Stegostoma tigrinum: one gene and its partners. The protein of the gene in region 1 interacts with the protein of each later gene in a pairwise test. Links are inferred from orthologs where the notes say so. Each region holds a gene or a part of one and is shown in the gene's direction. Other genes may lie near its edges. The genes, in order: ccndbp1, thap7, protein PIMREG-like and mrpl15.

Region 1 (8,181 bases):
GACAGTCAGAAACCTGGTTAACTCAGGAACAGGAATGGTTGTTTAAAGTTGTGGGATTTAGATGCTTTGAAAGAAATAGGGAGGGTGGTAACTGAGTTGGGGGAGTGCCATTGCCAATCAGGGCTAGTATAGCAGCTACTGAAAGGCAGTTTGAGAATGATATATCTACAGAATCAGTTTAGGTTGAGGTCAGGAACAAGAAAGGAGCAGTCACTTTGTTGGGGTTTTTAAACAGATTTCCTAATAGTTGCAGAGAAGAGGAGGAGCACATTGGGAGGCAGAAACTGGAAAGGTGCAGAAGTAACAGGGTTGTAGTCATGGGTGACCACAACTTTCTAAAAATTGATTGGAAACTTCTTAGTTGTAATAGTTAAGATGGAATGGATTTGGTCCAGTGGATTCAAGAAGGATTCCTGACACAGTATGTAGATAGACCAACATGAGGAGAGGCCACTTTGGATTTGTGCTTGGCAATGAACCGGACCAAGTGTTAGACCTGTTGTTAGGAGGGCATTTTGGCAGTAGTGATCATCACTCTGTTTCTTTTACAACAGTCATGGAAAAGGAAGGTACACACAGCAGGGTAAGGTTTATAATTGAGGGAAGGGTAATTACAATTCAGGCTAGAAGGCTAAAGGAGGTGCATGTTTGTAAGGAAGATGCACAAGGAATTTTGAGGAAATTGAAGATAGATAAGTTCCTGGGCCTGATGGGATTCAATGAGAAGTGAGGGAAGAGATCACAGGGCCTTTGGCGATGATCTTTGCATCCTCACTGTCCACGGGTATAGTGCCGGAAGATTGGAGAGTGGCAAACGTCATTTCCTTGTTCAAAAAACAGAATAGGGATAACCCTGGAAATTACAGGCTAGTTAGTGTTATGTCAGTGGTGGGCAAATTATTGGAAAAGGCTCTGACAGAGAGGATTTATGATCACTTGGATAGGCATAGTTTGATTCGTGATAGTCAGCATTGATTTGTGAGGGGTAGATCATGCCTCACAAACCTTATTGAATCCTTTGAAGAGGTGACCAAACACGTGGATGAAGGTAGAGCAGTGGATGTGGTATACATGGATTTAAGTAAGGCATTTGATAAGGTTCCCCATGGTAGGCTCATGCAGAAGGTAAGGAGGCATGGGATAGGGAAAGTGTGGCAGATTGGATTCAGAATTGGCTGACCCTTAGAATACAAAGGGTGTTAGTGGATGGAACATATTCAGCATGGTGCTCAGTTAAGAGTGGTGTACCACAAGGATCTGTTCTGGGTCCTCTTCTATTTGTGAATTTTGTAAATGATTTGGATGTAGGAGTGGAAGAGTGGATTAGTAAGTTCGCAGACAATACAAAGGTGAGTCGCTTTGACAATAGTGTGGATGGCTATTCTAGGTTACAAAGGGACATTGATAGGATGCAGAGGTGGGCTAAGAAGTGGCAGATGGAGTTTAACCCTGAAAAGTGTGAGGTGATACATTTTGGAAGGACAAATTTGAAAGCAGAATACAGGGTTAATGGAAAGATTTTTGGCAGCGTGGAGGAGCAGAGGGATCTTGGGGTTCATGTCCACAGTTCCCTAAAAGCTGCCACCCAGGTGGATAGAGTTGTTCGCAAAGCGTATAGTGTGTTAGCTTTCATTAATAGGGAGTTTGGGTTCAAGAGCTTTGAAGTTATGCTCCAGTTATACAAAACCCTGGTTTGGCCACATTTGGAGTATTGTGTCCGGTTCTGGTCGTCTCATGACAGGAAGGATGCAGAAATGTTGGAAAAGGTGCAGAGGAGATTTACCAGGGTGTTGCCGAGAATGGAGGGAGGGTCTTTTGAGGAAAAGTTGAGAAACCTAGGACTTTTCTCTTTATAATGACGAAGGATGAGAGGTGAATTGATAGAGGTGTACGAAATGATCAGAGGTATTGAGAGAGTGGATAGCCAGAGACTTTTTCCTAGGGGGGAGGTAGCTCATACGAGGGGGCGTAATTTTAAAGTGAGTGGAGGTAGAAATAGGGGAGACGTCAGAGGTAGGTTCTTTAGTCAGACAGTGGTAGGGGAATGGAATACATTGCCAGAGAGGGTAGTGGAGTCGGCCTCATTAGGGGCATTTACGTGGCATTTGGATGATAGTGTAAAGTAGGGGTGGAGGTTAGATAGACATAAGGCTTAGGGTAAAAGTTCGGCACAACATCTTTGTCCGAAGGGCCTGTACTGTTCTACGTTCTATGTTCAACATGGCTTTATGCAAGGCAGATCATTTCTTACTACCTTGATTGAATTTTTTGAGAAGGTGACGGAGGTGATCGGTGAGGGTAGAGCAGTGGATGTTGTTTACATGGATTTTAGTAAGGCTTTTGACCAGGTCCCTCATAGTAGGCACATCCAGAAGATTAAGACGCATGGAATCCACAGTGACTTGACAATGTGGGTTCAGGCTTGGCTTGCCATAGAAGACAGAGGGTAGTGGTGGAAGGCTGGTTTCTAGTCTGGAGGTCCATGACTAATGGTGTTTTGCAGGGGTCCGTGTTGGCAACTCTACACTTTTTAATACATATAAATGACTTACATGATAATATAGTTGGGTGGGTTATTATGTTTGCAGATGATACAAAGATTGGTGGAGTTGTGGATAGTGTAGAAGGTTGTCAAAGGATATAGCAGGATATCGCTCAATTGCAATCATGGGCAGATAAATGGCAGATGGAGTTTAATCTGGGTAAATATGAAGTGCTATGATTTGGGAGATCAAATGTTAACGAAACGTGTACAATTAATGGCAGAACTCTGAATGCCATTGATGTATAGAAGGAGATTGGGGTTCAAATCCATAGCTCCCTGAAAGTAGCCATACAAGTAGATAGGGGGTAAAGAACACGTGTGGCATGCTTGCCTTTATTGGTTGGAGAACTGAGTACAAGAGTCAGGATGTCATGCTGCAACTTATTAAGAATTTAGTTCGGCCACATTTAGAGTATTATGTTTAATTCTGGATGTGAGTTTGCTTGCTGAGCTGGAAGGTTAGTTTTCAGACGTTTCGTCACCATTCTAGGTAACATCATCAGTGAGCCTCCGACAAAGCGCTGGTGTTATGTCCCACTTTCTATTTATCTGTTTAGGTTTCCTTGGGTTGGTGATGTCGTTTCCTGTTCTTTTTCTCAGAGGATGGTAGATTGATTTGGAGCCAATGTGTTTGTGGATGGAGTTCCGGTTGGAATGCCATGCTCCTAGGAATTCTCGTGCGTGTCTCTGTTTGGCTTGTCCTAGGATGGATGTGTTGTCCCAATCAAAATGGTGTCCTTCCTCATCTGTATGTAAGGATACAAGTGATAGTGAGTCATATCGTTTTGTGGCTAGCTGATGTTCATGTATCCTGGTGGCTAGCTTTCTGCCTGTTTGTCACAATGTAGTGTTTGTCACAGTTCTTGAAAAGTATTTTGTAAATGATGTTTGTTTTGCTTGTTGTCTGTATAGGGTCTTTTAAGTTCATTAGCTGCTGTTTTAGTGTGTTGGTGGGTTGGTGGGCTACCCTGATGCCAAGAGGTCCGAGTAGTCTGGCAGTCATTTCGGAAATGTCTTTGATGTAGGGGAGAGCGGTTATGGTTTCTGGGCCCATTTTGTCTGTTTGTTCGGGTTTGTTGCTGAGAAATCGGCAGACTGTGTTCATTGGGTACCCATTCTTTTTGAATATGCTGTATAGGTGATTTTCTTCTGCTCTTCGTAGTTCCTCTGTGCTGCAGTGTGTGGTGGCTCGTTGGAATAATGTTCTAATGCAGCTTCGTTTGTGGGTGTCGGGATGGTTACTCCTGTAGTTCAGTATTTGGTCTGTATGTGTTGTTTTCCCGTAGACGCTGGTTCGAAGTTTCCCATTGACTGTTGGCTCTACTAGAAATAAATAGGGAGAGAGGGGGAAGCAGACCGAAGATGGATAGAGGAGAAGATAGGTGGAGAGGAGAGTATGGGTGGGGAGGTAGGGAGGGGATAGGTCAGTCCAGGGAGGAGGGATAGGTTAAGGAGGCGGGATGAGGTTGGTAGGTAGGAAATGCAGGAGTGGCTTGAGGTGGGAGGAGGGGATAGGTGAGAGGAAGAACAGGTCAGGGAGGCAGGGACGAGCTGGGCTGGTTATGGGATGCAGTGGGGGGAGGGGATGAGCTGGGTTGGTTTTGGGATGCGGTGGGGGGAGGGGAGATTTTGAAGCTTGTGAAATCCACATTGATACCATTGGGCTGCAGGGTTCCCAAGCAGAATATGAGTTGCTGTTCTTTACTAACGTGCTGCCTGAATTAAAAATTTCAAATTTTCACCATCTGCTTTTCAACGAAGGGCTTGACTACTCCCTTCACCACCGCATTTACCGTGAACCCGGCCTCGTCTACTGGCCCCGTCAATCTCCATGCATCTGAGATAACAAAGTGTGGAGCTGGATGAACACAGCAGGCCAAGCAGCATCTCAGGAGCACAAAAGCTGACGTTTCGGGCCTAGACCCTTCATCAGAGACGCTTTTGTGCTCCTAAGATGCTGCTTGGCCTGCTGTGTTCATCCAGCTCCACACTTTGTTATCTTGGATTCTCCAGCATCTGCAGTTCCCATTACCTGTGCATCCAGTCAGGCCCCGCCCTACCTCTGGTCCCGCCCATTCATCCGTAACGACCCAGCCTCCGCCCACCAGTCCTGCCTGCTACAGCGGGCCCCGCCCCCGAGCTTGCGTCAAGATGGAGGAGCTGCTTTCGGCTGCGTGTGAGACCATGGACTCGGAGGCGAACGATGATCTGCGGTTGCCGCTGCGGAACCTTGCGAACGGCCTGAGGGAGGTGGTGTCGCAGCTGCGAGGTGAGTTCGGCTGATTCCAGGGAGCAGGCCTCAGGATCTTCCAACAGCAGAGATCCCGGGGTTGGGGGAGAGGACTGCTGACACCAGACAGGGCCTCTACCTGAAGGACCCCACTTTGTCTGTGGGTGTACGGACATGTACTGGCATCTACCGCAACACCCGAGTGACAGTGAAAGGAGCGATAATGGGGTAACAGCCGGCCCTAGGAGCTCAGAGCCAGTGGAAATAGCGGCAGCAGTCTAGTGTTTGCGTGTAATTAGTGATAATGGGAACTGCAGATGCTGGAGGATCCGAGATAACAAAGTGTGGGGCTGGATGAACACAATAGGCACTAAGCAGCATCTCAGGAGCACAAAAGCTGACGTTTCGGGCCTAGTCTACCTGATCCAATCTTACAGGCTGGGATCCAATAGAGGGGCTCTAAGTTGTTTATATTCCTAATCGAGCCTCAAATGGACAAGTTCATCTATTTACTTCCTCCATATTGTTTCAGCAGACTTCTGACTAGCGTCCTATCTCCTTTCTCTGTCCCCTTCCCCGCCTTTTGAGTTAATATAAAACTCAGTTAGCTGTATTCTCATTTAAGTCCAAATACAGAAACAAAAATTCTGAAGTTTTTTAAAAAATGCAGAAAATGCTCAATGGGTCAGACATCAGCCGTGGCGAGAGATTCGGAATTAATATTTCAAGCCTGGAACCGTCCTGATGAAAAGTCTGAAATGTTAACTATTTCTTTACTCACCATTGTTGCTAACCCACTGTGTTCTTCAGCATTTCTGTTAATTTTACTTGCCTTCCTCCCTGTGCTCGTCATTTAGCATTGGCCTCTGGTATGTTACAGCTTTGCAAGTTTGAATTGCTTTTCTGTTATGTATGACTAAATTGAACACCCACTATTTTACTTGACCTTCCAAACAAGCCCTCCAAGAGATCTGTATAGTCAATTCCATTTGCCTGCGTGTCCCTCCTGTCAAACTGCATAATTTAATGTAGTTGTGGATGTTCTCTTCACTCCTCCCCGCCCCCAATAGTGAAGTTTAAGGGACCTTTAAATGTGTGTACAGCCATGAATGTAGTTAAACCTTGCACAGTCAAATCTTGTGGGTCAGTGAAAATAAAAATAAAGTCACTATTTTGCATCTTCTCAGTCTTTCATGCCTCTGCTCCTAACTCGACCAACTTTCCTGAATGCCCTTCTGCTCTCAACTCATAATTTGGAATCTTGTATTCTGTTTGGTTCTGTTTCACAACCCCTTTCCCATCATTGAAATTTTTTTTCTGTCTTGTCGCAGCCTTCGGTATCAATTTCAAGTCTTTGTTTTTATCTTTGAAGACTTCTAGCCATGTCCCACTCTGCCTCAGAAAGCTTCTTTAGCATCTTGGTCAGCCTCACTGTCAGTTTAGAAGGAGAAAGAAAATTACAAGTGCCTGATAATTTACAGGGTGCTATTTTAAAAGCAAAATCACGAATAGGATGTGGTCATTGCTTGCTGGGCCAGCATTTTTTGCCTGTATCTAGCTGTCCTTGAGAAAATGGTGGTGTTCTGCCACCTTGAATTGCGGTGATAAATTTGTGTAAGTACCTTCACAATGCCATTGCACCATAAGAAAAAGGAATGGGAGTGGACTGTTTAGTTCCTCAAGCCTGTTCTGTTATCCAGAAGATTCAGCCACTCCTCATATTCACTTTCCTGCCCTTTCCCTTGACCCTTGATTTGTCTACTGATCAAGAATTTCTCTATCTTGGCCTTGAATATGTGCAAGGTCTCTGTGGAAAGGAATTAAGGAGGGCTTTCTAAGATTTTGATCCAGTGACGTTCAAGGAGCGGCAATAATAAGTGACTTGGGAGGAAACTTGTGGATTAGACATGAATGTATGAAATAACTAATCAACAGTCATAAAACTGATAGACTGAAGTTCTGTTTGTTGAAAGCATTAGTTATCACAATTCTACCCTAAAGAAGAATAACTCACCAATAACTGATGACTTTTCAAAGATTTTTGGGTTATCAGTGGACTCAACACAGCCACTAACAAACCATTGTAATCATTTTTCTGAGGAGTAACACTTGGAAGAATGGTTCTCTTGTAATGCTGAAATTTGTCAGTGGTAGACCTAGCAAGATGATTGTTATACCTAATGGTATCAGAGATAATGGGAACTGCAGATGCTGGAGAACTCCAAGATAGTAAAATGTGAGGCTGGATGAACACAGCAGGCCAAGCAGCATCTCAGGAGCACAAAAGCTGACGTTTCGGGCCTAGACCCTTCATCAGAGAGGGGGATGGGGAGAGGGAACTGGAATAAATAGGGAGAGAGGGGGAGGTGGACCGAAGATGGAGAGTAAAGAAGATAGGTGGAGAGAGTATAGGTGGGGAGGTAGGGAGGGGATAGGTCAGTCCAGGGAAGACGGACAGGTCAAGGAGGTGGGATGAGGTAAGTAGGTAGCTGGGGGTGCGGCTTGGGGTGGGAGGAAGGGATGGGTGAGAGGAAGAACCGGTTAGGGAGGCAGAGACAGGTTGGACTGGTTTTGGGATGCAGTGGGTGGGGGGAAGAGCTGGGCTGGTTGTGTGGTGCAGTGGGGGGAGGGGATGAACTGGGCTGGTTTAGGGATGCAGTAGGGGAAGGGGAGATTTTGAAACTGGTGAAGTCCACATTGATACCATATGGCTGCAGGGTTCCCAGGCAGAATGAGTTGCTGTTCCTGCAACCTTCGGGTGGCATCATTGTGGCACTGCAGGAGGCCCATGATGGACATGTCATCTAGAGAATGGGAGGGGGAGTGGAAATGGTTTGCGACTGGGAGGTGCAGTTGTTTGTTGCGAACTGAGCGGAGGTGTTCTGCAAAGCGGTCCCCAAGCCTCCGCTTGGTTTCCCCAATGTAGAGGAAGCCTCACCGGGTACAGTGGATGCAGTATACCACATTGGCAGATGTGCAGGTGAACCTCTGCTTAATGTGGAATGTCATCTTGGGGCCTGGGATAGGGGTGAGGGAGGAGGTGTGGGGACAAGTGTAGCATTTCCTGCGGTTGCAGGGGAAGGTGCCGGGTGTGGTGGGGTTGGAGGGCAGTGTGGAGCGAACAGGGGAGTCACGGAGAGAGTGATCTCTCCGGAAAGCAGACAGGGGTGGGGATGGAAAAATGTCTTGGGTGGTGGAGTCGGATTGTAAATGGTGGAATTGTCGGAGGATGATGCATTGTATCCGGAGGTTGGTAGGGTGCTGTGTGAGAACGAGGGGGATCCTCTTTGGGCGGTTGTGGCGGGGGCGGGGTGTGAGGGATGTGTTGCGGGAAATACGGGAGACGCGGTCAAGGGCATTCTCGATCACTGAGGGGGGAAAGTTGCGGTCCTTAAAGAACTTGGAC
Region 2 (7,816 bases), on another chromosome or scaffold:
TAAGTCTTGATGGCGCTCAGAGGGCTCGGGTGCTTTGCTTTCCTGTCAGTGAGGGGATCTGATTCTGAATGTGATGATTGCTTTTCATCTATTGGTATTACATAAAGCCACGGCCATATAAAGCAACAGGTTTAATGATCACGATCAGCCTCATTTTATTCTCACTGAGTTCATTATGGCAAATGACAGCAGTGAAAGTCAAAACCTTTAGGAACTATGCCCCAGTGATAGTCAGCACCTTCAGGGAAGAAATGGAGAAAACTTAAATTAAATCTCTATTTATTCTCCACCAGTCATCCTAGGAATAGCATCTGGGTTAAAGAATGGGATTGAAAGAATGGTTTTAACTAAAATGAACAATGATGATGAACCCACCTGTGTGGACAAACATGTGCTTGGCGTAATTCTGTCTGGAACTGAATGTCTTCCCACACTGTGCACATCCATAGGGCTTCTTTTCGGTTTCACTGGAACTGTGACTGGCCTGAGAGGTAGCTGGGACTGTCTGGCCTCCATCTAGAAACGCAGCCGGGTTTTGGCAAGATGGCTGAGCTGAAATGCTGGGTATACATGTCTGTGAGGTGGACGGCAGAGCTGGAAGGTGAGGTGACTGAGGAACGTTCATCTGGAAGAGGTTTCGGTGACTGGCAGCACTGGCTGCATTATTATCTCCCTGAACATCATACTGCACAGAGCAGCCTTGGTTTCGTGGACTGTTGTGCACAGCTGATGCTGGGAGAAAGTCTTGCATGAATGTTGAAGGCCGTTGGTAGGATGCATCAAGTTGAGACTTGCAGTCTGCTTTTCGGTTTTGTGGTAAGGATGGTTCCTTCTCCTCTTTCTCTCCATGCCAAAAGGACTTCAGTTCCTCAGGTAAGAGATCACTAGCATTGAAAAATTCCAGCTCATCCCCTTTGCCGGTCAAGCTCAAATGACTCGCAGAATCTCTTCGATCCCCCATTGTGCTTTGATTGGGATCAAAGGCATTTGTCTCAGAGATATCCTCAGTTTGCTCACTTTGGTTGATATGCTCAGCAGTTTGATCGGAGACACTTGCACTGGAGATGCTCTCCCCACAGTAAAGGAGATCATCATCTTCTTCCTTGATGGTCACTTGACTTCCATCTGCCATCTGGAGGCGGATTGGCTGGCGCTGCTTGCGACTGTGGCTGCCTTGTGCTAACAATGGCATTTCTGGACGCTGATTGGCTGCAGTGTTGTACCATAGAGCACGTACCTCACTGTTACGGCCAGTGTCCATCAGAGACAGATTCTCCTGGTCAGCAATGGCCTGTTCTCCAACTCCCTTTTGTCGTGTAGATGGAACTTGTCTGCTCAGATTAGGGCTAATTTCTTCAGCTTTGTACCCTGTGTCACTTGTTGCCACGTTCTTTGTACCTCCGCGTACAAAATCAAAGTCTTTCTCTGTTCCATGAGGTGACAATGCCGTTTCAATTAAACCCATAGAAAATTTGTGGATCTGGTCACTGACTGACTGGCAAATAATGGCTTCTTTCTCATCAGAAAGGTCCATCTTTTGGCTGACTAATGGTTGGAGTCCCTGAGTCTTTTGTGAGGCATTTTGCGAAATAATGCGTGTACATTCATCAATGATGGTTTTAATCTGAAGGACACTTGCTGCTGTGAGGATTTGTAGAGCCTCCACGTGAGAGACCATCAGAGAGCCGCTGTACATGAAATCCACCAGCCGCCGTAGAGTCTGGGCTGAGACAAGGGGAGGAACCTCGATCTCGCTGTAACCCAGCAAAAGTTTATCGTGGAAAAAAGGGCTAGCTGCAGCCAGAACGCAGCGGTGTGCTCGAAGAGCTGTGTTGTGGATCCTCACTGTTACATCACAGAAATGGCCACCCAGGCGCTGGGAATTCAGTGTCTCCAGCAGTGACTTGCTAAAGTTTTGGAGGTTGATGCTGTGAAGCTGCTCCGACATCCTGCTCAGTTGCTCTGCACTGCCTGCAAACCAATGGAAAAAGTGAGGATGGGGGAAATGAAGACAGAGAGAGTGTGAGAACAACACGGGGGTTGGAGAAAGGGAAGCGGCTGGTGGTGTCATTCTGGCATATGTAGGTGGGGCTGTCTCCTCCCCTCACAACAGGATTTTGTGCAGGGGAGGGTAATGGTGGTCGTTCCCGTCCCCCTCACACAGCAGTGGGACGGGGGGGGATTGATATTCCCCTCCCCCACACACAGCAGTGGGGCGGGGGGGGGGATTGATATTCCCCTCCCCCACACACAGCAGTGGGGCGGGGATTGATATTCCCCTCCCCCACACACAGCAGTGGGACGGGGGGGATTGATATTCCCCTCCCCCACACACAGCAGTGGGACGGGGGGATTGATATTCCCCTGCCCCACACACAGCAGTGGGACGGGGGGATTGATATTCCCCTCCCCCACACACAGCAGTGGGACGGGGGGATTGATATTCCCCTGCCCCACACACAGCAGTGGGACGGGGGGATTGATATTCCCCTGCCCCACACACAGCAGTGGGACGGGGGGATTGATATTCCCCTCCCCCACACACAGCAGTGGGACGGGGGTATATTCCCCTCCCCCACATACAGCAGTGGGACGGGGGGATATTCCCCTCCCCCACACACAGCAGTGGGACGGGGGGGGGATATTCCCCTCCCCCACACACAGCAGTGGGACGGGGGGGGGGGAGATATTCCCCTCCCCCACATACAGCAGTGGGACGGGGGGATATTCCCCTCCCCCACACACAGCAGTGGGACGGGGGATATTCCCCTCCCCCACATACAGCAGTGGGACGGGGGGATATTCCCCTCCCCCACACACAGCAGTGGGACGGGGGGGGGGATATTCCCCTCCCCCACACACAGCAGTGGGACGGGGGGGGGGATATTCCCCTCCCCCACACACAGCAGTGGGACGGGGGGGGATATTCCCCTCCCCCACACACAGCAGTGGGACGGGGGGGGATATTCCCCTCCCCCACACACAGCAGTGGGACGGGGGGGGGATATTCCCCTCCCCCACACACAGCAGTGGGACGGGGGGGATATTCCCCTCCCCCACACACAGCAGTGGGACGGGGGGGGGATATTCCCCTCCCCCACACACAGCAGTGGGACGGGGGGGATATTCCCCTCCCCCACACACAGCAGTGGGACGGGGGGGGATATTCCCCTCCCCCACACACAGCAGTGGGACGGGGGGGGGATATTCCCCTCCCCCACACACAGCAGTGGGACGGGGGGGATATTCCCCTCCCCCACACACACACACACGTGGGACGGGGGGGTATTGTCGTGATGGAGTTTTTTGGGGGGTGGGGGGGCGTGAACGCTGTCACGTGCTTGCTACTATCGAATCAGCGAGCTGCCGAGGCGAGGCCATTGACCCCTGACCCGCTCCGCTTTCCTTGATGTACTGGAGTAGTCTGCGGGGGGAGGGGGTGGCGGAATTATCGTCAGGGCCTGGGCTGCCTTGGCACCCGCACTCTTTAGGTTGCATTCTGTTGGGCCGGTAGGGTCCCAGGGCCGCGCTCCCTCAGGCGACACTAACCTCCAGTCAGTCTCCAGCCGGGCCTTGCGTCATGGCGCAGCGCGGCGGCGACGTCAAGGCGCAAGGCGGATACCACCGACAACGCCTGTTCCGCATGCGCAACGACATCGCGATCTGGAAAAACGTAGCTGTCTTGATTGAAGCCACCTGAATTTCCTCAGAGTCTTCCCGAATATTTCTGGACCTGAGCTTTCCATTGTCGTGAAGGCAAGAACGCTACCTGCTCCCAATTCCGCCCTGCGTCTGAGTGCCGTGACGTAGGTTTGAGGCTCTTAGGTCGGCCATTTTGGTGAGGTCAACGAGGACAGAGTGAGGGAAGAGGGTTGTTGGGGGAGGGGTGGGAGTAGAGATAATTGGGATATAGGCTTGGGGGTGGTTCCGAGGAGTCGGGTGATGAGGGAACGACAGGAGATTATAGTCATGGGGCAGGGCAGGGTACGGATGGAGGGATAGGGGATGATGGGAGGGGTGTAGGTGGAAAATGGATGGTGTGGGAATGGGGGCCATTATACGAATGATATGGGGTGGAAATGGGAGGGGATTATGGTCAAGAGAGTGATGGGTATGTGGAGGGTGACTTGGATACGATGGATGGGAAGGATTGGGATGGGGAGAAAGGTGATGTGTGGGGATTAGTGGGTGGTGGTGAGTGGGATATAGAAGTGGGAGTAGGGAAGGAAGTAATAGGGATGACTGGAGGAAGAGAAAGTCAGAGGGAGGGTAATTAAGGAGACCCTGGGTGGTGGGAAGGGAATTGCGGTGGGTGTCAGTGTTGGGTAATGAGGAGTGGCGTTAGGAAGAGGGGAATAGGGTATAGGGTGAATTTGGAGGGGGGGATGATGGGGCATTAGAGAAATTGGAAGGGTGAATTGTGAAATGGTGGGATTGAGAGGGGTTGGATTTGGGTAGGGGACTGTGGGGAAGGAAGGGATGAAGCTTGTGGGAACAGGCAAGATGGAATAGGTGAGGTGATGGAGTAAGGCAAAGGTGTGGGGTGGTTGGGAAGGGGAGAAGAGAGTTAAAAGACAGAAAGGAGGGGGTTGGGCTGGCAGAGATGGAGTGGATGATTGAAGAGAAAGGAAAGAAGGGGAATGATAGAGTAGAAGGTAATGAGGAGGGAGAGAGATATTTGTACCAGGGTGAGAAAGAAGAGACAGCTTGGGGTGGGGGGGGAATAAGAGATGGGAGGTGAAGGGTAATTGTAAAGGGAATGGGGTGGGGGGACGGGAGAGGAGAGACTGAGTAGCAGGATTCGTAGGGTTTGCCTGCGGGGAGAGATGGTGCATGCTTCCATTTGGGTGTGTGAATGAATAGATGGTGTGTTTGGGCGCAAGCAAAGAGCGGTTACTGGCTATGGGGTTCAATGTGGTCTGACTCTGGTGAACTCTTCTTATGTCATGCAGGGGTCAGAGCAATGCCCCGACACTGCTCGGCTGAGGGCTGCACATCACGGGACACTAAGGATTCGAGAATTAATGGAGTCACGTTTCACAGGTCAGTGAGACCTCTCCCTATCCTCAGGTTGATTCCCTCAGTGAGGTCTGTTTAATCCCCCACCCAGTCATATTTTACTGTGGTCACGTTCACTTCTCATGAGTTTCATTTTACTTAGGTTGCCCAAGAAGGGAAGACATCAGCGTGAGATCTGGTTGCTGAATTGTTGCCGCAAGAATCCAGATGGGACAGTTCCGTGGGATCCACCGTCGCAGTTCATCTATTTCTGTTCAAAACATTTTGAGAAACACTGTTTTGAGCTTGTGGGGCTGAGGTAATTTGTAGCATCTGTCAAATGTTGGTCCAATATGCCCTGCTTCAACAAATCACTACAGCCCATTAATAATTTGAGTGGCATGGTGGTTCAATGTTTAGCACTGCTACTGCACAGTGCTAGGGATCCTCCAGTTTCTCTCCACAGATCAAAGATGTGCAGGTTTGATGGATTGGCCATGATAAATTGCCCTGAAAGATGTGCAGGCTATAGGTAGGTTGGCCATGGGAAATGCATGGTTATAGGTATAGGGTTGGGGTATTGTGGAATGCCGTTCAGAGCTGTGGTGTAGACTTGATGGGCTGAATGGCCTGCTTCCACAGTGTAGGGATTCTCTGATTCTATTACACACTGCTCCACAGATTACTATGGATTACCAGATCCATGTCTATCAGATCACCAAGACCTGATAGACTCTGGTTTGCCCAATCCCTGGAACATCAGATCAATTGTATCACACCTGTGGGCTGAAGAGTGGTAGATGGAGTGTAATTTGGATAAATGTGAGGTATTGCATTTTGGTAAAATGAACAAAGGCAAGACTTATACGGTTAGAAGTCGGGCTTTGGGTAGGGCTCTAGAACAGAGAGACCGAGGCTTTGACGTTTATGTCACATATAGATAGGATGGTTAAGGTGTTTAAGCATGCTTGCCTTCATTGTTCACACCTTTGAGTATAGGAATTGGGACGTTATGCTGACTCCTTTTCTGGAGTTACGTAATGCAATTTTGGTCTCTCTGTTACATAAAGGAAATTATTAAGTTGGAGAGGGTTCAGAAGATAGTTACCAGGATCTTGCTGGGAATGGAGGGTTTGAGTTTTAAGGAGAGGCTGGATAGACTGGAAATTCTTTCACTGGAGAATAGGAGGTTGAGGGACGACCTTATAGACGTTTATAAAATAATGACAGGCATTGATAAAGTGGATGGTAGGATTTTTTACCCTAGGGTGGGGGAACTTCAAGATTAGCGAGCATATTTTTAAGTTGAGAGGAGACAGATTTAAAAAAAGAGTGGCAATTTTTCCACATAGAGTGGTTCATGTGTGAAATGCACTTCCAGAGAAAGTGGTACACCTTTTAAAAGACATTTAGACAAGTTCATGAATAAGAAGTGTTTGGAGAGATGTGGACCAAGTGCATACGGGTGGAACTAGTTAGTTTGGGATTATGTTTGGCTGGCTGGACAGAAGGGACTGTTTCTGTGCTGTATTACTCAGATCCTTGTCCACATGATCTTTACAGTCTCTTAGATTGCCAAGGTCCATCAGATCCCTTAGCTCATCAGATCTTGGCTCACCTAATCACCACTGTTTATCAGTTCCCAGATCACCTGATCACCAGTCCAACAGATCCCAGTCCGTTCTCCCAAAACATCAGAACATAGTTTGGTGGATCACCCTGGCCTTTCAAATCTGTTGCCTTGTACCATCAGACCCAGGTTCCTCTGATCACTGTGGTCCATCATCACGCAGGTCCAACACATTACAATTGAGGCCAGCTTTATTTCCGGTGGGGTGGGGGGGGGGGGGGGGGGGAGATGTGTGTGTGTGTGGCGGAAATTCACTGCTTTCCTTGTTTTCTTTCCCCAGTCGTTATCACCGCCTGCGAGATGACGCTGTCCCCACATTATTTCAGCCATGTCCTCAAGCAAAGGTGGCGCTGAGTGGGGGACACAATGCAAAATCATTGTCTGTACGCACCAATGAATGGTGAGAAACTTCTGGTGACTGCTTCAGCCGTGTGATTCACAGGATGTATACTGCTTGGAAACCATTTACGCTGTTCACTCGAAATCAATATCTTAACTAAAAATGCTTTTTGTATTTCTTCTATTACTCTGTTCATTGACTCGGTGCAAATGGCTAGTGCATGCTCGGGTGTTAGAGACCAGATAGTTGATGTAGAGACTGCGGTTTCCTGTCAGGGGTAGGTGAGTGCTGCCTGTCTCCAACCACTGGATTAGGGAAGGGACAAGTGAGCCAAGACTCTTAATCTTAAAGTAGTTACCTATTTATGAGATGTTAAATGAGGGCACAGTCAAGCTCATTGTGATGCCATCTCAGTCAAGTATTCAGTAACTACTGCTTGTATGCCAACAATCAGATAATGGTCATTTTGGTTAGGCAGTGAAGAATGAACAGCACTCCAGAGTTCTTGAGAAAAGGGGGAGGAAACTGACATTAAAATATCCACAATTGGTCACTCCCTGTCCTTTTATTAACCTTCAGCTATTTTCCTTCCTATCTATCTAACAGCTTCACTGATGGCAGCGCCTGTTTACCTGCTCCTGATCTCAGGAATGCTGACACTAGCTCAGGGATGGCCTTCAGCATTTCTCAAGATGGTTCTTCCTTTGTTCTGGGTTATTCTGATCCCCAAGAGAGAGTGAGTGAAAGTCTCTGCTTGTATGAACCATCAACTCCTGACATACCACTCTCCATAAACCAGCCGGAGCCAGAAGCCACAACTCCTGCTGTCATTTATCTCATTGAAGTGA
Region 3 (7,606 bases), on another chromosome or scaffold:
AGTTTCCAAGTTGTTCTTGTCTTTTGGCCTTACACTCCTAATGTATGTCTGCATAGCAGTTGTTTTAGTTACAAAATCCAACTCCAGAATAATCAACTTAGTCTCGTGGAAGTCAGAAGATGTGCACAAAATAATAGGGAGTTTTTGATAGGAAACAAAAGAAAACATTTTTAAACTGGTCCATTTGTCAGTAACAGTAGAGAATAAAATACCAACAATATGGTGACATTGGGAAAATCTGTCATACTGTATGTATACGGGCTTATCAAATGTTTTGTGCAAATGGAAACAGTTTTAGAAGCATCATTTCTGATACAGTTGTTATTAAAAGAGATTTGCACAAATAATTGATCACAGAAACACAAACGGATTACAGCAGGGGGCCATTCAGCCCACTGTGTCTGAGCTGGCTCTTCAAATGAGCAATGCATCCAGTGCCACTGCTACACTTTCTTCTCATAGTCTTGCACTTTCTTCCTTTTTAGGTGATGACCCAATTCCTTCTCAAATGCTGCAATTGAACTTGCATCCACCATATTCTCTGGCAGGGCATTCCATATTCTAACAACTCGCAGTTTGACAACGTTTCTCCCCCTGTCACGTGTGCTTGATTTGTTCATTATTTCAAATCTGCTCTCTCTCATTCTTGACTCTTCCACCAGCAGAAACAGTTTACTCACTATCGATTTGATCCAGACGACTCATGATTTTGAATACCTATAACAAATCGCCTGTCAACATTCTCCAAGTAAAACAAGCTCAACATTTCCAATCTATCTACTAAAATGAAATTCTGCATTCATGAAACCAAGCGGAGGTGTTCTGCAAAGCGGTCCCCAAGCCTCTCTTTGGCTTCCCCAATGTAGAGGAAGCCACAACGGGTACAGCGGATGCAGTATACCACATTGGCAGGTGTGCTTGATGTGGAAAGTCATCTTGGGGCCTGCGATGTGGGTGAGGGAGGAGGTGTGGGGGCAAGTGTAGCACTTCCTGTGGTTGCAGGGGTAAGTGCCAGGTGTGGTTGGGTTGGAGGGGAGTGTGGAGTGAACAAGGGAGTCACAGAGAGAGTGGTCTTTCCGGAAAGCAGACAAGGGTGGGGATGGAAAAATGTCTTTGGTGGTGGGGTCGGATTGTAGATGGCGGAAGTGTCAGAGGATGATGCATTGTATCCGGAGGTTGGTGGTATGTGAGGACGAGGGGGATTCTATTTTGGTGGTTATTGCAGGGGCGGGTGGGCGGGATGAGTTGTGGAAATGCGGGAGACATGGTCAAGGGTGTTCTCAACCACTGTGGGGGGGATGTTTCAGTCCTTGAAAAACGAGGACATCTGAGATGTACAGGAGTGGAATGCCTCACCCTGGGAGCAGATGCGGTGGAGGTGAAGGAATTGGGAATAGGAGATGGAATTTTTGCAGGAAGTTGGGTGGGAGGAGGTGTATTCTAGGTAGCTGTGGGAGTCGGTGGGCTTGAAATGGATATCTGTTTCTAGGTGGTTGCCTGAGATGGAGACAGAGAGGTCCAGGAAGATGAGGGATGTGTTGGAGATGGCCCAGGTGAACTTGAGGTTGGGATGGAAGGTGTAGGTGAAGTGGATGAAATGTTCAAGCTCCTCTTGGGAGCATGAGGCAGCGCCAAAGCAGTCATCGATATAACAGAGGAAGACTTGGGGCTTAGGGCCAGTGTAGGTGCAGAAGAGGGACTGTTTCACGTAACCTACAAAGAGACAGGCATAGCTTGGGCCCGTGTGGGTACTCATGGCCACCCGCTTTGTCTGTAGGAAGTTGGAGGAATCGAAAGAGAAGTTGTTGAGGGTGAGGACAAGTTTGGCTAGGCGGATTAGAGTGTCGGTGGAGGGGATCTGGTCGGGCCTGCCGGACAGGAAGAAGTGGAGGGCCTTTAGGCCATCTGCAAGGGGAATGCAGGTGTATAGGGACTGGATGTCCATGGTAAAAATGAGGTGTTGGGGACTGGGGAATTGGAAGTTCTGGAGGAGCTGGAGGGCTTGGGTGGCTTCTGTTCATATTCACTTTGTGCACTCTCCCCAAACACAGATCATCCCATTGTTTCTGTGCTATCTCAGCAGCTCTGACAGTATCTGTGGAAAGAAATTTCATATCCAGTAACACTTCATCAGATCTGCTGAGTTTCTCCAGCAATTTCTGATTTTGTTTGTTTCAGATCTCCAGCATGTGCTTTGTATTATTCTCTCCCACTTCTGCTCACTTTAATTCAATGTGTATGCAGGGGAATGCTAAGCAACAGGTATCCATTTTAATGTCTAGGGTTTTACAGCAGAGTTGGCATAGTTTCATTGCAGAAATGACCATATCCTACGATGTAACATTCTCTGAGGCAATATTTGGTTTAGGGTTTTATATGGGCCAGGGAATGCAGAATTTCTGCATACTTCTACAGGGCCAGTGGGTTTTGGTGAATAGTGAATCCCAGGGTCTGGCCATAACAAAAAGAGGTGTTGCTGTGGTGTAGCAAGTTGTGGACACTGCCAACCTCCCAGGTCCTGTAAGCTTCTGATGTTCTGACAGCAGCACTGGTGTGAAGGTTTGGCGGAGTCAGTGGTGAGCTAGAGAGATGAAGTATCCATTTCCTTTCATGTCGGGAATTCTGGAGGTGTGTATATTCCTCACAGCAGCGGCACAATAGAAAGCTATATATTTGCAAGGCCAGATTTGCAGTTTAAGAGAATGACAGACGATCAGCTAATAGGCATCTCAGCTGCCCAGCAATAACCCTGTCTCCAATTCCTGAACTCTGCTGGAAAACACAACTAATTCAATCCCAACCTTCATATCGGCATTGTTAACTTTTCAGTGATACTCTCAGATATGGGTGGCACTTTTATCTCACAGAGCCAGGGAGGTTCAATTCCAGCCTCAGGTAACTGTCCATGTGGATTTTGCATTTACTCCCTGTTTCTGCAGAATGTGCCTGTTTCCGCCCTCAGTCCAAAGATGTGCAGGTTAGATTGACTGGTCATACTGAACTGCCCTGGAATGTGCAAGCTAAGTGTGGAAAGCAAGGGTATATGCAGGGCTACAGGAATAGGGTAGGGGCTTGGGTCTGGGCTGGATTCTTTTCAGAGAGTCGGTGCAGCAAAGATGGGCCGAATGGCTTCTTCCCGCATGGTACAGAATCGAGCTTTTTACCACAGCACACATCCTCGGGCCCTGTAAGATTTCATTTAATAGTTCCCATTTGTGTCGCCTTTCTATGACTCTAAGGTCGGTCGTGGTGGAGGGAAGATTTAACTGTACAAATGCCCTGCTTACCTGTTTTCAGTGAAGAATTAAGAGCGTGTAACGGAAAACAATGTGCAAATCCCCCCTTCCCCAACCCAAGGATAACAAACATCTTAGAGACACTCGGTTCGAAGCGTGGGACGACCAGTTAAACGATCGCTTGGAAAGGATTCTCCCTATTTCTTCCAAGTTATTAACAACCTGCGTTCAAATCGTATCAATATTCATGTTTAAAGCTCGGTGTTTTGCAATAACTTGCGAAGATAAATCTGGGTCTATAAAATATGGAGCTGGAGGTGCAGAGCAAGTCAGATAACGGGACCAGGAAAGCTGATGTTTCGGGTCTTTCTGAAGAAGGGTCTAGGCCCGAAACATCAGCTTTCCTGCTCCTCTGATGCTGCTTGACCTGCTGCGTTGATCCAGCTCTACACCTTGTTATCTCAGATTCTCCAGCATCGGCAGTTCCTACTAACTCTGGAGAAACTCAGCAGGTTTGGCAGCATCTGGGAAGTTAGAAAACAGAGTTAACGTTTCGAGTCCAGTGATCCCTCTTCAGAAATTGTCACTGGAACCGTTTTGCCTTTCTGTACGATTTGTTTCACTGGTTTTAAATGAGTGCAGCAGTGTTTTACTTTCTAATATTAAGAACTGTGGCAGCAGCCCATGTTTCGTGGTCTCACCAGAAGGCGCTGGGACGACGAGAATGAAAGGGTAATTTCCATCAGCTCCCGGGAAGAAATGGACACATTGCTGTTACTTGATCGGATCCTTTTTCCTGTTGGGAAACAAAGGCTTGGGAACAAAGTAGCCGGAGCCCGAGCAATCCCCTCCCAGTGACATAACCGACGGCCAATCAGCGCGGGCCTCAGTACGTCATCTTGTCAGTTTCACCAATCGGATCGCGGGAATTTCACTCCGCTACAAAGTTGCGCCAAATTCAAAAACAAGAAAGGGACAGACATTCAGGCGTTCGATCCCAACCACGGAGGTCGTAATGACAAGCTGGAGAAAGCACCATCAGATCCTGCAGGAAGAAGGCGATAGCCCGCCAGCCGATCTTTTCAGGGAGATGTCCTCGTCCAGCTCCCTCAACACTATCCGCATGTCCCTGAGGAAGAGGCTGCCTCTTGGGCAGGTGGACTTTAACATCGACCACACCCCGACTTGGGAGAGTCTGGAGCTCACCAAGAAACCTAATGCTTTACAAACTATAGGTCGGACTGCGAGGAACACATGGGGCAACGTCTCCCTGGTAACTTGTTTTTACTTACACTTGACACCATGGAGTGTAGCAGTGCCATTATTCCATTTAAAACGTCAAGGTTTCAAAAACTGACATTGCTTAAGAAAAATATGGACTCCAGTTTTATTTTAGTAGAAAAGTGTAAAAGTAATTTGGAAGCCAGCAGCATTGACTATTCAGACTATTCAGCTGGCAGACATTTCCCAGATAACGTACTGTGTGCCTGACCGCGGTGGACTGTAATATAACTTGTACGATAAATATACATGACTGGTTCCACTGACATGGGCTGATGTGGCAATTGGCTGCGTTCCTTACATTGCAGACAGTGTCACGTTAATTTTTGCTTACTTCTCCATAATGTCCTGATCAAAAGCTTATCTCCAAACCAACATCGCTTAAACAAATGATATGGTTTATACTTCAGAGATAATGGGAACTGCAGATGCTGGAGAGTTCCAAAATAACAAAATGTGAGGCTAGATGAACACAGCAGGCCAAGCAGCATCTCAGGAGCACAAAAGCTGACGTTTTGGGCCTAGACCCTTCATCAGAGAGGGGGATGGGGAGAGGGAACTGGAATAAATAGGGAGAGAGGGGGAGGCGGACCGAAGATGGAGAGTAAAGAAGATAGGTGGAGAGAGTATAGGTGGGGAGGTAGGGAGGGGATAGGTCAGTCCAGGGAAGACGGACAGGTCAAGGAGGTGGGATGAAGTTAGTAGGTAGCTGGGGGTGCGAGGAAGGGATGGGTGAGAGGAAGAACAGGTTAGGGAGGCAGAGACAGGTTGGACTGGTTTTGGGATGCAGTGGGTGGGGGGGAAGAGCTGGGCTGGTTGTGTGGTGCAGTGGGGGGAGGGGACGAACTGAGCTGGTTTAGGGATGCAGTAGGGGAAGGGGAGATTTTGAAACTGGTGAAGTCCACATTGATACCATATGGCTGCAGGGTTCCCAGGCGGAATATGAGTTGCTGTTCCTGCAACCTTCGGGTGGCATCCAATTCTTCCAATTCCCTGGCCCCCAACACCTCATATTCACCATGGACGTCCAGTCCCTGTACACCTGCATTCCGCATGGAGATGGCCTCAAGGCCCTTCGCTTCTTCCTGTCCCGCAGGCCCGACTAGTCCCCCTCCACCGACACTCTCATCCGCCTAGCTGAACTCGTCCTCAGACTCAACAACTTCTCTTTTGACTCCTCCCACTTCCTACAGACTAAGGGGGTGGCCATGGGCACCCGCATGGGCCCCAGCTATGCCTGCCTCTTTGTAGGTTACGTGGAACAGTCCCTCTTCCGCACCTACACAGGCCCTAAACCCCACCTCTTCCTCCGGCACATTGATGACTGTATCGGCACCGCCTCTTGCTCCCCAGAGGAGCTCGAACAGTTCATCCACTTCACCAACACCTTCCACCCCAACCTTCAGTTCACCTGGGCCATCTCCAGCACATCCCTCACCTTCCTAGAACTCTCAGTCTCCATCTCAGGCAACCAGCTTGTAACTGATGTCCATTTCAAGCCCACCGACTCCCACAGCTACCTAGAATACACCTCCTCCCACCCACCCTCCTGCAAAAATTCCATCCCCATTCCCAATTCCTCCACCTCCGCCGCATCTGCTCCCACGATAAGACATTCCACTCCCGCACATCCCAGATGTCCAAGTTCTTTAAGGACCGCAACTTGCCCCCCACAGTGATCGAGAACGCCCTTGACCGCATCTCCCGTATTTCCCGCAACACATCCCTCACACCCCGCCCCCGCCACAACCGCCCTAAGAGGATCCCCCTCGTTCTCACACACCACCCCACCAACCTCCGGATACAACGCATCATCCTCCGACACTTCCACCATCTACAATCTGACCCCACCACCCAAGACATTTTTCCATCCCCTCCCCTGTCTGCTTTCCGGAGAGACCACTCTCTCCGTGACTCCCTTGTTCGCTCCACACTGCCCTCCAACCCCACCACACCCGGCACCTTCCCCTGCAACCGCAGGAAATGCTACACTTGTCCCCACACCTCCTCCCTCACCCCTATCCCAGCCCCAAGATGACATTCCACATTAAGCAGAGGTTCACCTGCACATCTGCCAATGTGGTATACTGCATCCACTGTACCCGGTGCGGCTTCCTCTACATTGGGGAATCCAAGCGGAGGCTTGGGGACCGCTTTGCAGAACACCTCCGCTCAGTTCGCAACAAACAACTGCACCTCCCAGTCGCAAACCATTTCCACTCCCCCTCCCATTCTCTAGATGACATGTCCATCATGGGCCTCCTGCACTGCCACAATGATGTCACCCGAAGGTTGCAGGAACAGCAACTCATATTCCGCCTGGGAACCCTGCAGCCATATGGTATCAATGTGGACTTCACCAGTTTCAAAATCTCCCCTTCCCCTACTGCATCCCTAAACCAGCCCAGTTCGTCCCCTCCCCCCACTGCACCACACAACCAGCCCAGCTCTTCCCCCCCACCCACTGCATCCCAAAACCAGTCCAACCTGTCTCTGCCTCCCTAACCGGTTCTTCCTCTCACCCATCCCTTCCTCCCACCCCAAGCCGCACCCCCAGCTACCTACTAACCTCATCCCACCTCCTTGACCTGTCCGTCTTCCCTGGACTGACCTATCCCCTCCCTACCTCTCCACCTATCTTCTTTACTCTCCATCTTCGGTCCGCCTCCCCCTCTCTCCCTATTTATTTCAGAACCCTCACCCCATCCCCCTCTCTGATGAAGGGTCTAGGCCCGAAACGTCAGCTTTTGTGCTCCTGAGATGCTGCTTGGCCTGCTGTGTTCATCCAGCCTCACATTTTGTTATATGGTTTATACTTCATTGCTGTTTGTGAGATCCCTATAATCTTTGGGTCACCCTAAACTCTACAGCTCCCTGTCTTAACTAAGATCAAGTCCTGTTGTTGACCTACACTGACTCACAGTAAAACAGCTGCAAGATTTTAAAATTCACATCATTGTTTTGTTTTCAAATTTTTGACTCCCCTTATTGCAGTAATCCCCTTCAGCCCCAAAAACCCTCAAATATCTGTACTCTGTTAATTCTGGCATCTTGACTGTCTTCTGTTGGCGGCTGTGCCTTCAAGTAAG
Region 4 (7,392 bases), on another chromosome or scaffold:
GCAATTTTGTGGCAAACAAACCTAGTAGATATTGATGGGAATTGAAGGAAAGCCTCAACACTGGAATCATACCTGGTACAAAAGGAAGATAGTTGTGGTCATTCATAGTAGCCCCACCACAGCAATACACGAATTCTTGGGAATATTCTCCAGCCAATAATCAGTAACTTAATGAATCAACTATATACATACAGTTGCTAGAACAGCAAGTCTGAAACTGGTCCTATTCTGTAGGTAATGAATTATATCTTGCTTCCCCAAAGCCCTTCCACCATCACCAAGACATGAAGAAGTCGTCTAACAGAACACGCTTCAGGCGCCTGGACGAATACAGTTCCAACACTTGGAAAACAAAATCACTGATGACTTAATAGCTTGCTGGATTGACACCAAACACCCCATCTGAACTATTCATACTAATACACCATAGCAGCATTATGACCGATGACCTACCACTCACTAAGTTTCAATAGTATTACTTGCAATCCTCCTCGTCGGATTCTTGAAACTTTCAGTCCTTTTTTCAAACCACCTTTAACCGTTCACACTTCACTGTGCAATATTAGAATGCTCTTTTTTGGAATTGTTGTTTCGGGAGAAATTCTCCTTAAAAAAAAATCAATGATATTGGCATCGTCTTCACCTGGAAGTAATGTGGCAAATCTCTGTTTGAGATTCGTAGAGTCTTGTAATTTTTTGTGCAGTTTCTTCAATGCATTCATGTCCTTCCTACTATGTGGAACGAAAGCTCAACACAGCTAAGAACTGACAAGTATTTTATATGCTCACGCCCAGTGCGACAAAACAATTGTGCCTCTAAGTTTTTTAATCACCCTACGAGCTGCATGGTGTTGCTTACTATGATCTGCCTGTACTGTTCGTAAACAAAGTTTTTCACTTCACTTAGGAACACTGGAGTTAATTATTTCAAATTCAAATCTTTTTTCTTGTATACTCTACGCTGCTATTAAGGCTAGGATACTATTGTTTTATTCATGGCTCTCAACTGGTCCTGCCACCTTGAGGGGGGGGAGAGGGAGGGGGAAGGGGAAGTGAGGGGGGAGAGGGAGGGGGAAGGGGAAGTAGGGGTGGAGGGGAGCGAGGGGGGGCGGAGGGAGAGAAGGAACAGCGGCGATATCTGGACACTGGCAATAGGGACAACCTGGTTGGTCGATCAGATTCATCCTCTGCTTGGTAGCTGGAAGGGAAGGGAGGAAGCAGGGCTGGAACGGAAGCCAGGGTTGGGGAGGTTATTTTGAACTTAGAGAACTCAAACGTTGAGTCCTCTGGGCGGTAGGGTGCCCAGGTGGAAGATAAAAGGTGTTGCTCGCCAAATTTGTGTTCTGAATCATAAGAACTAGGAGCTGGAGTAGGCCATCCAGCTCCTCAAGCCTGCCCCGCCATTCACTAAGGTCATGGCTCATCTTTGAGACTCAGCTCCACTTACCTGCCCGCACACCATAACACTTAATTCCTTTGCTGTTCAAAAATTTATCTAGTCTTGCCTTAAAGACATACAGCGAGGTAACTTCAACTGCTTCACTGGGCAGGAAATTCCACAGATCCACAACCCTTTGGGTGAAGAAGTTCCTCCTGTCCTCAGTCCTAATCTGCTTCTCTTTATTTTGAGGCGATGTCCCAAGTCCTAGTTTCACCTGCTAGCAGAAACAACCTCCCTGCCTCCACTTTTATCGATTTCCTTCATAATCTTATGTTTCTATAAGATCTCCCCTTATTCTTCTGATTCCCATGAGTATAATCCCAGTCTACTCAGTCTCTCCTCATAATCCAGCCCTCAATTCTGGAATCAATCGAGTGAACCTCCTCTGCATCCCCTCCAGTGCTAGTATATCCCTTCTCAACTAAGGAGACTAAAACTGCACACAATATTCCAGGTGTGGTCTCACTAGGACACTATACAGCTGCTGCACAGACTCCCTGATTTTAAACTCCATCCCTCTGGCAATGGCACACAAAATTCCATTTGCCTTTTCAATTACCTGCTGCACCTGCAATCCTACTTTTAGCAATTTATGCACAAGCACACCCAAGTCCCTCTGTACAGCAGCGTGTTGCAATTTTTTATCATTTAAAACATAGTTCATTTTGCTGTTATTCCCAAAATGAATCACGGCAACACTGCAGGAGGCCAAGGGCAGACATGCTGGAGGCATTGCAGGGAGGTGCAATGGGCAGCGACTGGGAGATAAAGCTGCCTGTTACGGGCCAGATGAAGCTGCTCGTGAAATGGTCACCTAGTTTACATTTGGTCTCACCTATATAGAGAAGACCACTTCAGGTGCAGTGGATGAAGGTGAAGCTCTGCCTCACTTGGAAGGACTCGGCAGCATCTGGCCCTGAATGGGGGTGTGGAAGTTGGTGTGTGAGCAGGTATTGCAATTTTAACAGTTACAGGGAAAGGTCCTTGGTGGGAAGTATGACATGAACTGGAATAGTCCTTGTAGAAGGCAGAGAGGGCCGGGGAGTGGAAGATGTTCTGGGTGGCAGGGTCTAATTGGAGTTGGTGGAAATGTTTGAGGATGATACATCGGATGCAGAGCTGGTGGGGTGGAAAGTGAAGACAAAGAGGACCCTATCTCATCAGTTTCGGGGGGGGGGGGGGGGTGTTAAAAAGCTGAGTAGGCAATAGATAAGACACGCTGGAGAGCTGTCTCTCTTCTCTGCCGACACAGTCAATTTACAGTGGAAGAATTGGGAAACAGTACGAATGTACTTACTGGTGCAGTTCATCCCTTAATCCAATTTTTACCCAAATTACCCATCGCATCTGCTCTGAGGAGGAGGCATTCCATTCCCTCTCATCCCGGATGTCCTTTTTGTCCCCCAATGTCCTTTTCTTCTGTCATCCAGACATCTCTCCACCACGCTTCAAAACTCTAAACCACCCTCACCCTTCAAACATAACAAGACATATACCCTACCAGCTCTGCATCCAACATATCATCCTCAAACATTTCCAACTCCAAATAGACCCACCACCCAGAATATTTTCTACTCCCCACTCCTCTCCTGAAATGGTTCTCTATGTTGGTGAGACCAAACATAAACCAGATGACAGCTTCACGAGCATCTTCGACTGGCCTATAACAGCCAGCTAGCCTCCCAGTCAGTGGCCATTTCCTCCATATGCTGCCTGGCCTGCTGTGTTCTTCCAAACTCCTGCCTGTCCACCTCGTGGGTTTTTTTTGGTCTCTTTCCTACAGGGACAATTGAAAAGAATTGAAAAAGCTGCTAAGACTTTGGGATATCAAGAAAGGTGCTGAATTATTTCAAGCTTTTCTTACTTCTTGTTCCTAGTCTTTGTTATCCATATTTTCCTGACCTTAGAGATGTAAGCAAGGAGCCCTTAAAAACATATGCCCTCTCTCTTTTCCAAGGCTCAGCTGAATATCATCTAATCAGATTGCTTAATTTCTTTCAAGATTACAAAAAAAAGATGACATCCACACTTAATTTGTCTCCAACTTTCTGCTAGTCGTCGGTAGAACACCACTTCCAAAAATTGATGGCCGTTACAAAAGATTAATTTACGATCCCCGGGAACGCTTCAAATTCTTTAATATTAAATAGTCCTTTGCTGTCTAATACCGTTGAGAAAGCTCTTAACGTTTCCACCCCATTTTCATGCATTTTTCCCCCAATAGTCTTTTAAATTGCCCTGATAGTTGTTTCCTGCAACTGTACATTATGAATGCTTTTCCCCACAAAAATTGCATCGTTTAACTACGAACAGATCAGAATAGTAGAGCACAATTGATCATCGATAGCAACTACCAAGACCCATCAATAATATGTCCCTTCCCTTGCAATCAGTGGACACGCTTTCTCTACTGTACCGGGCCAACGCACAGTTCTTGTTGTTATGCTGCAAGTCACACACTGGAAAACTGCACCCGCCCTTTGCCCATCGCTTTTCCAGGTGAGACTCACCGCGGCTGTGGCTTTTTTTGCAGCAGGGACAATAGCAGGAATTGGCGCTGACATGTTGTTACCGCACATACACAATCAAAACGAAGGCGTCCAGCTAACCCACAGGTCACCACCACTACAAACAGCCCCAACCGCCGTTCTCCACACTCCTCCTCCCGCCCGCGCTTACACCACCAGATATCCCGCCGCCGCCGCCTCCTCCTCGGACGAATTTGACGTCCTTACAACGGAAACCCGTGTTACGCCATATGATTGGCTGAGCCCGATGTTAACAGAGGAAACAATGGGCGGCTGATTGACTGCGCAGTTGCAGTGGCGCGCTTGTCGACTGAATAATCTGTTTTCCTTTTCACTCCCCGATGTATCCCTGAAAGACATGTACAAGTATTAGCGTCAATCAGAATGATAATAAAACTGGATTTGGCTGTTGGTCAGGCTTCCGGTATTTTTTACTTCCGTGATTTGCATTTTTAAGCAATGAACTACACAGAAAGGAGTTTAAGAATCATACAAGTGTTTTTTTAAACAAAATTCAGCAACTAGAAATTAGAGAATAAATGGGTCATCTAGAGGTTTTAGGTACTCGCCGCTTCCGCACTTGTCGTAAAGACGCGTTGCTCTGAATTTTGCGACACAGCAGTCTGTCTTGGCGGTTGGGAAAAATGGCGACACGAGGATTTGGATCGACTGGGCTCGAGCTTCTCCGGCGGCTGCCGCGGGTCTCCCTCGCCAACCTGAGACCAAACCTGGGAGCGAAGAAGAGGGTAAGTGCTCTATAAGCATATATATCACCCTTTTCCAATCAGTTCTGCAGGAGGGGTACTGGAGCCGAAACATTAACTCTGCTTTCTCCCACAGATGTTGCCAGACCTGAGTTTTTCCAACAATTCCGGATTTTGTTTTTGATTTCCGCTGTTTTGTTTGTTTGGTGTCTAAGCGAGTTGGACAACCATGTGACGAGAACATCTGCAAAGTTATGGGGAATGGGTAGAAAACCATCTGAGCTGCCCTTACAGAATCATTCCGACACTCTGGGCCGAGCAGTCCCTCTACCACTGTCCGTGCTACAATTATTATTTTGTGAGCAGAATTACGCGGTTAAGTTGCACTCCCTCGCGGTCATCAATTTCTAAATGAGACTTTGAAAGGAAGCGACTCAGGGCTTGTGACAGTGGGAGCGGAAATTCACCCACTATCTCAATTTCGGCGTCCTTTTCCCTGCTGAAAAAGGACTATTTGTCTCTCCTGCTGTGAAGCAGCAGCCTCGTTAACTCTTGGGGGGTGGGGGGGGAAAGAGAGGGGAGGAGATATTAACTATTCACCCTATCCATGTTTGTCATGATTTTATAAACCTCTAGAAGATCGCCCTTCAGCCTCTGACAATCCAGGGGGAAAACTGGCCCCAACCTATTCAACCTCTCCTCTTATCTCAAATCTTCCAACCCTGGCAACATCCCTGTAATTCTTTTCTGAACTCTTTCAAGTTTAACAACATCTTTCTTACACTGGGAGACCAAAATGGACTGCAGTATTCTAAAATTGGACTCACCAATGTCCCCAACATAACATTCCAGCTCCTGTATTCAGTGCATTGACCAATGAAGGCAAGTATGCCAACTGCCTTCTTCACTACCCTGTCTACTTCGCATTCAAGGAGTTATGCACCTGAACCCTAGGTCTCTTTGTACGGCAACACTCCCCAGGGACTCAGCACTAACTGTCCAAGTCTTGCTCTGGTTTGCCTTAGCAAAATGCAACCCCTCACGTTTATCTAAATTAAACTACATTTCCTCATCAGATCAATGTCTGATTGTACTCTGAGATAACTTTCTTCTCTGTCCACTACACCAGCAATTTTGGTGTCATTTGCAAACTTACTAACCATACATCCATTATTAACATCCAAATCATTTATATAAATGATGAAAAATAGTAGACCCAGCACTGATCCCTGTGGCAGACTGCTGGTCACAGGCCTCTAGATAGAAGACAGCCTCTGCCTCCACCTTGAAACCAATGTTATATTCAGTTGGCTAGCTCCAATGGACTCCATGTGATCCAATCTTGCTAACAAGACTACTCTGTGGAACCTGTCGAACACTTTACTGAAATCCGTAAGGAAAACATCCGCTGCTTTGCTGTCATCAATTGAATGTGATGTATATAGACTTTCAGAAGACTTTTGATAGTTTCCCACATAAGAGATTAGTGTGTAAAGTTAAAGATGGATAGAATGCTGGTTAGCAGATGGGAAATGAGGCTTTTTACCGCACAGTGGGGATCAATGTATGGATCCCTGCTATTAATAATATTGATTTAGATGAGACAATTAAAAGTAATATTCCCAAATTTGCTGAAGACACAAAGCTGGATGATTTGGATGACAGAAATTTTTCCAAGTTTGCAGACAATACAAAATGAAATGGGAAAATCAAGTAGTGAGGATGACAAAATTAGTCTAAAGAGGGATATAGACAAGTTAAGTGATTGAGCAAAAAATTTACAGATGAAATATAATGTGGAAAAATGAGGCTATGCACTTTAGCAGGAAGAATACAAGAACTGAATACTTAAATGGAGAATGACAACAGAAAGCAGCAGCTTGAAAATATTAGTGCGTCATAAAAATCTAGCTTCCGAGATCAGCAAGTAAATAGGCAAATGGATTTTGTTAGCCTTCATTTCAAAGTAAATTAAGTCTAAAAATATGGATGCCTTTTTGAAGCTATTAAAGGAAGCTAGGCTGAGCACAGCCAGAATAATGTGAACAGTTTTTGTTCCCTTATCGGGGGAAAGATTAGAGGCAGCTTAACGAAGGTTCACTATGTAAATCCTGGGTACCTGGGATTTTTCTTATGAAGACAGGTTCAGTAGGTTGGGCTTGCACTAGTTGGATTTGTTCATAAAGAGAGGAGACTTTATTGAAACATATAAGGTTATTAAGGGGATAGACGTAATAGATGTGGAGAAGTTGTTTCCTCATGCAGGAAAATCTAGAACCAGAGGATGTAATTTCAGAATTAAAGGTCCACCACCTTTGAAGATAGATGAGGAGGAGTTTTTCTGAGGGTAGTGAATGTATGGAATTCTTTACCACTGAGCGCTGTCAAGGCTGAGAAGTATATTCAGGCCATGGTAGATTTTTAATCAGTAAAGGAATCGAGTGTTCTACGGAAAGCATAGAAAAATGGAGTTGAGGATGATCAGATCTGCTAAAATTTCATTAAATCATAGAGCAGATTCAGTGGTCTGATTATTCTACTTCTGCTTCTCCACGTTGTGATCGCAAATAAACAAGGAGATATTCAGGGAAGAGAAAACAAACCTGATAACCTTAGTAGTTTTGATAGCATCTGTGCAGAGGGAAGAATTGCATTAATACTCAAATATTGGACTCGGCGTTAATTGTTTCTCTCCACAGACACTGCCAAATGTGTTGTA

What was found.
Region 2: the proteins of ccndbp1 (region 1) and thap7 interact in binary tests that used the Homo sapiens proteins (3 or more experiments, as listed by UniProt). The two-hybrid records come from large-scale screens. The link is inferred for Stegostoma tigrinum from reciprocal best matches to the Homo sapiens genes CCNDBP1 and THAP7.
Region 3: the proteins of ccndbp1 (region 1) and protein PIMREG-like interact in binary tests that used the Homo sapiens proteins (3 or more experiments, as listed by UniProt). The two-hybrid records come from large-scale screens. The link is inferred for Stegostoma tigrinum from reciprocal best matches to the Homo sapiens genes CCNDBP1 and PIMREG.
Region 4: the proteins of ccndbp1 (region 1) and mrpl15 interact in binary tests that used the Homo sapiens proteins (3 or more experiments, as listed by UniProt). The two-hybrid records come from large-scale screens. The link is inferred for Stegostoma tigrinum from reciprocal best matches to the Homo sapiens genes CCNDBP1 and MRPL15.

What each region holds. Positions count from the first base shown.
Region 1 is NC_081372.1:47,265,572-47,273,752, forward strand, and holds the start of ccndbp1 (cyclin-D1-binding protein 1 homolog), read left to right. Parts: upstream 1-4,670; 5' UTR 4,671-4,696; coding exon 4,697-4,814; intron 4,815-8,181. UniProt on the Homo sapiens protein: May negatively regulate cell cycle progression. May act at least in part via inhibition of the cyclin-D1/CDK4 complex, thereby preventing phosphorylation of RB1 and blocking E2F-dependent transcription.
Region 2 is NC_081391.1:26,351,696-26,359,511, reverse strand, and holds the start of thap7 (THAP domain-containing protein 7), read left to right. Parts: upstream 1-4,518; 5' UTR 4,519-4,603; coding exon 4,604-4,655; intron 4,656-4,952; coding exon 4,953-5,043; intron 5,044-5,161; coding exon 5,162-5,317; intron 5,318-6,908; coding exon 6,909-7,028; intron 7,029-7,574; coding exon 7,575-7,816. Other genes in the region: zinc finger and BTB domain-containing protein 20-like, read right to left, coding at 376-1,948. UniProt on the Homo sapiens protein: Chromatin-associated, histone tail-binding protein that represses transcription via recruitment of HDAC3 and nuclear hormone receptor corepressors.
Region 3 is NC_081380.1:25,349,281-25,356,886, reverse strand, and holds the start of protein PIMREG-like, read left to right. Parts: upstream 1-4,191; 5' UTR 4,192-4,251; coding exon 4,252-4,509; intron 4,510-7,606. UniProt on the Homo sapiens protein: During mitosis, may play a role in the control of metaphase-to-anaphase transition.
Region 4 is NC_081358.1:67,109,936-67,117,327, reverse strand, and holds the start of mrpl15 (large ribosomal subunit protein uL15m), read left to right. Parts: upstream 1-4,211; 5' UTR 4,212-4,613; coding exon 4,614-4,715; intron 4,716-7,392. Other genes in the region: lypla1 (acyl-protein thioesterase 1), read right to left, coding at 3,952-4,020.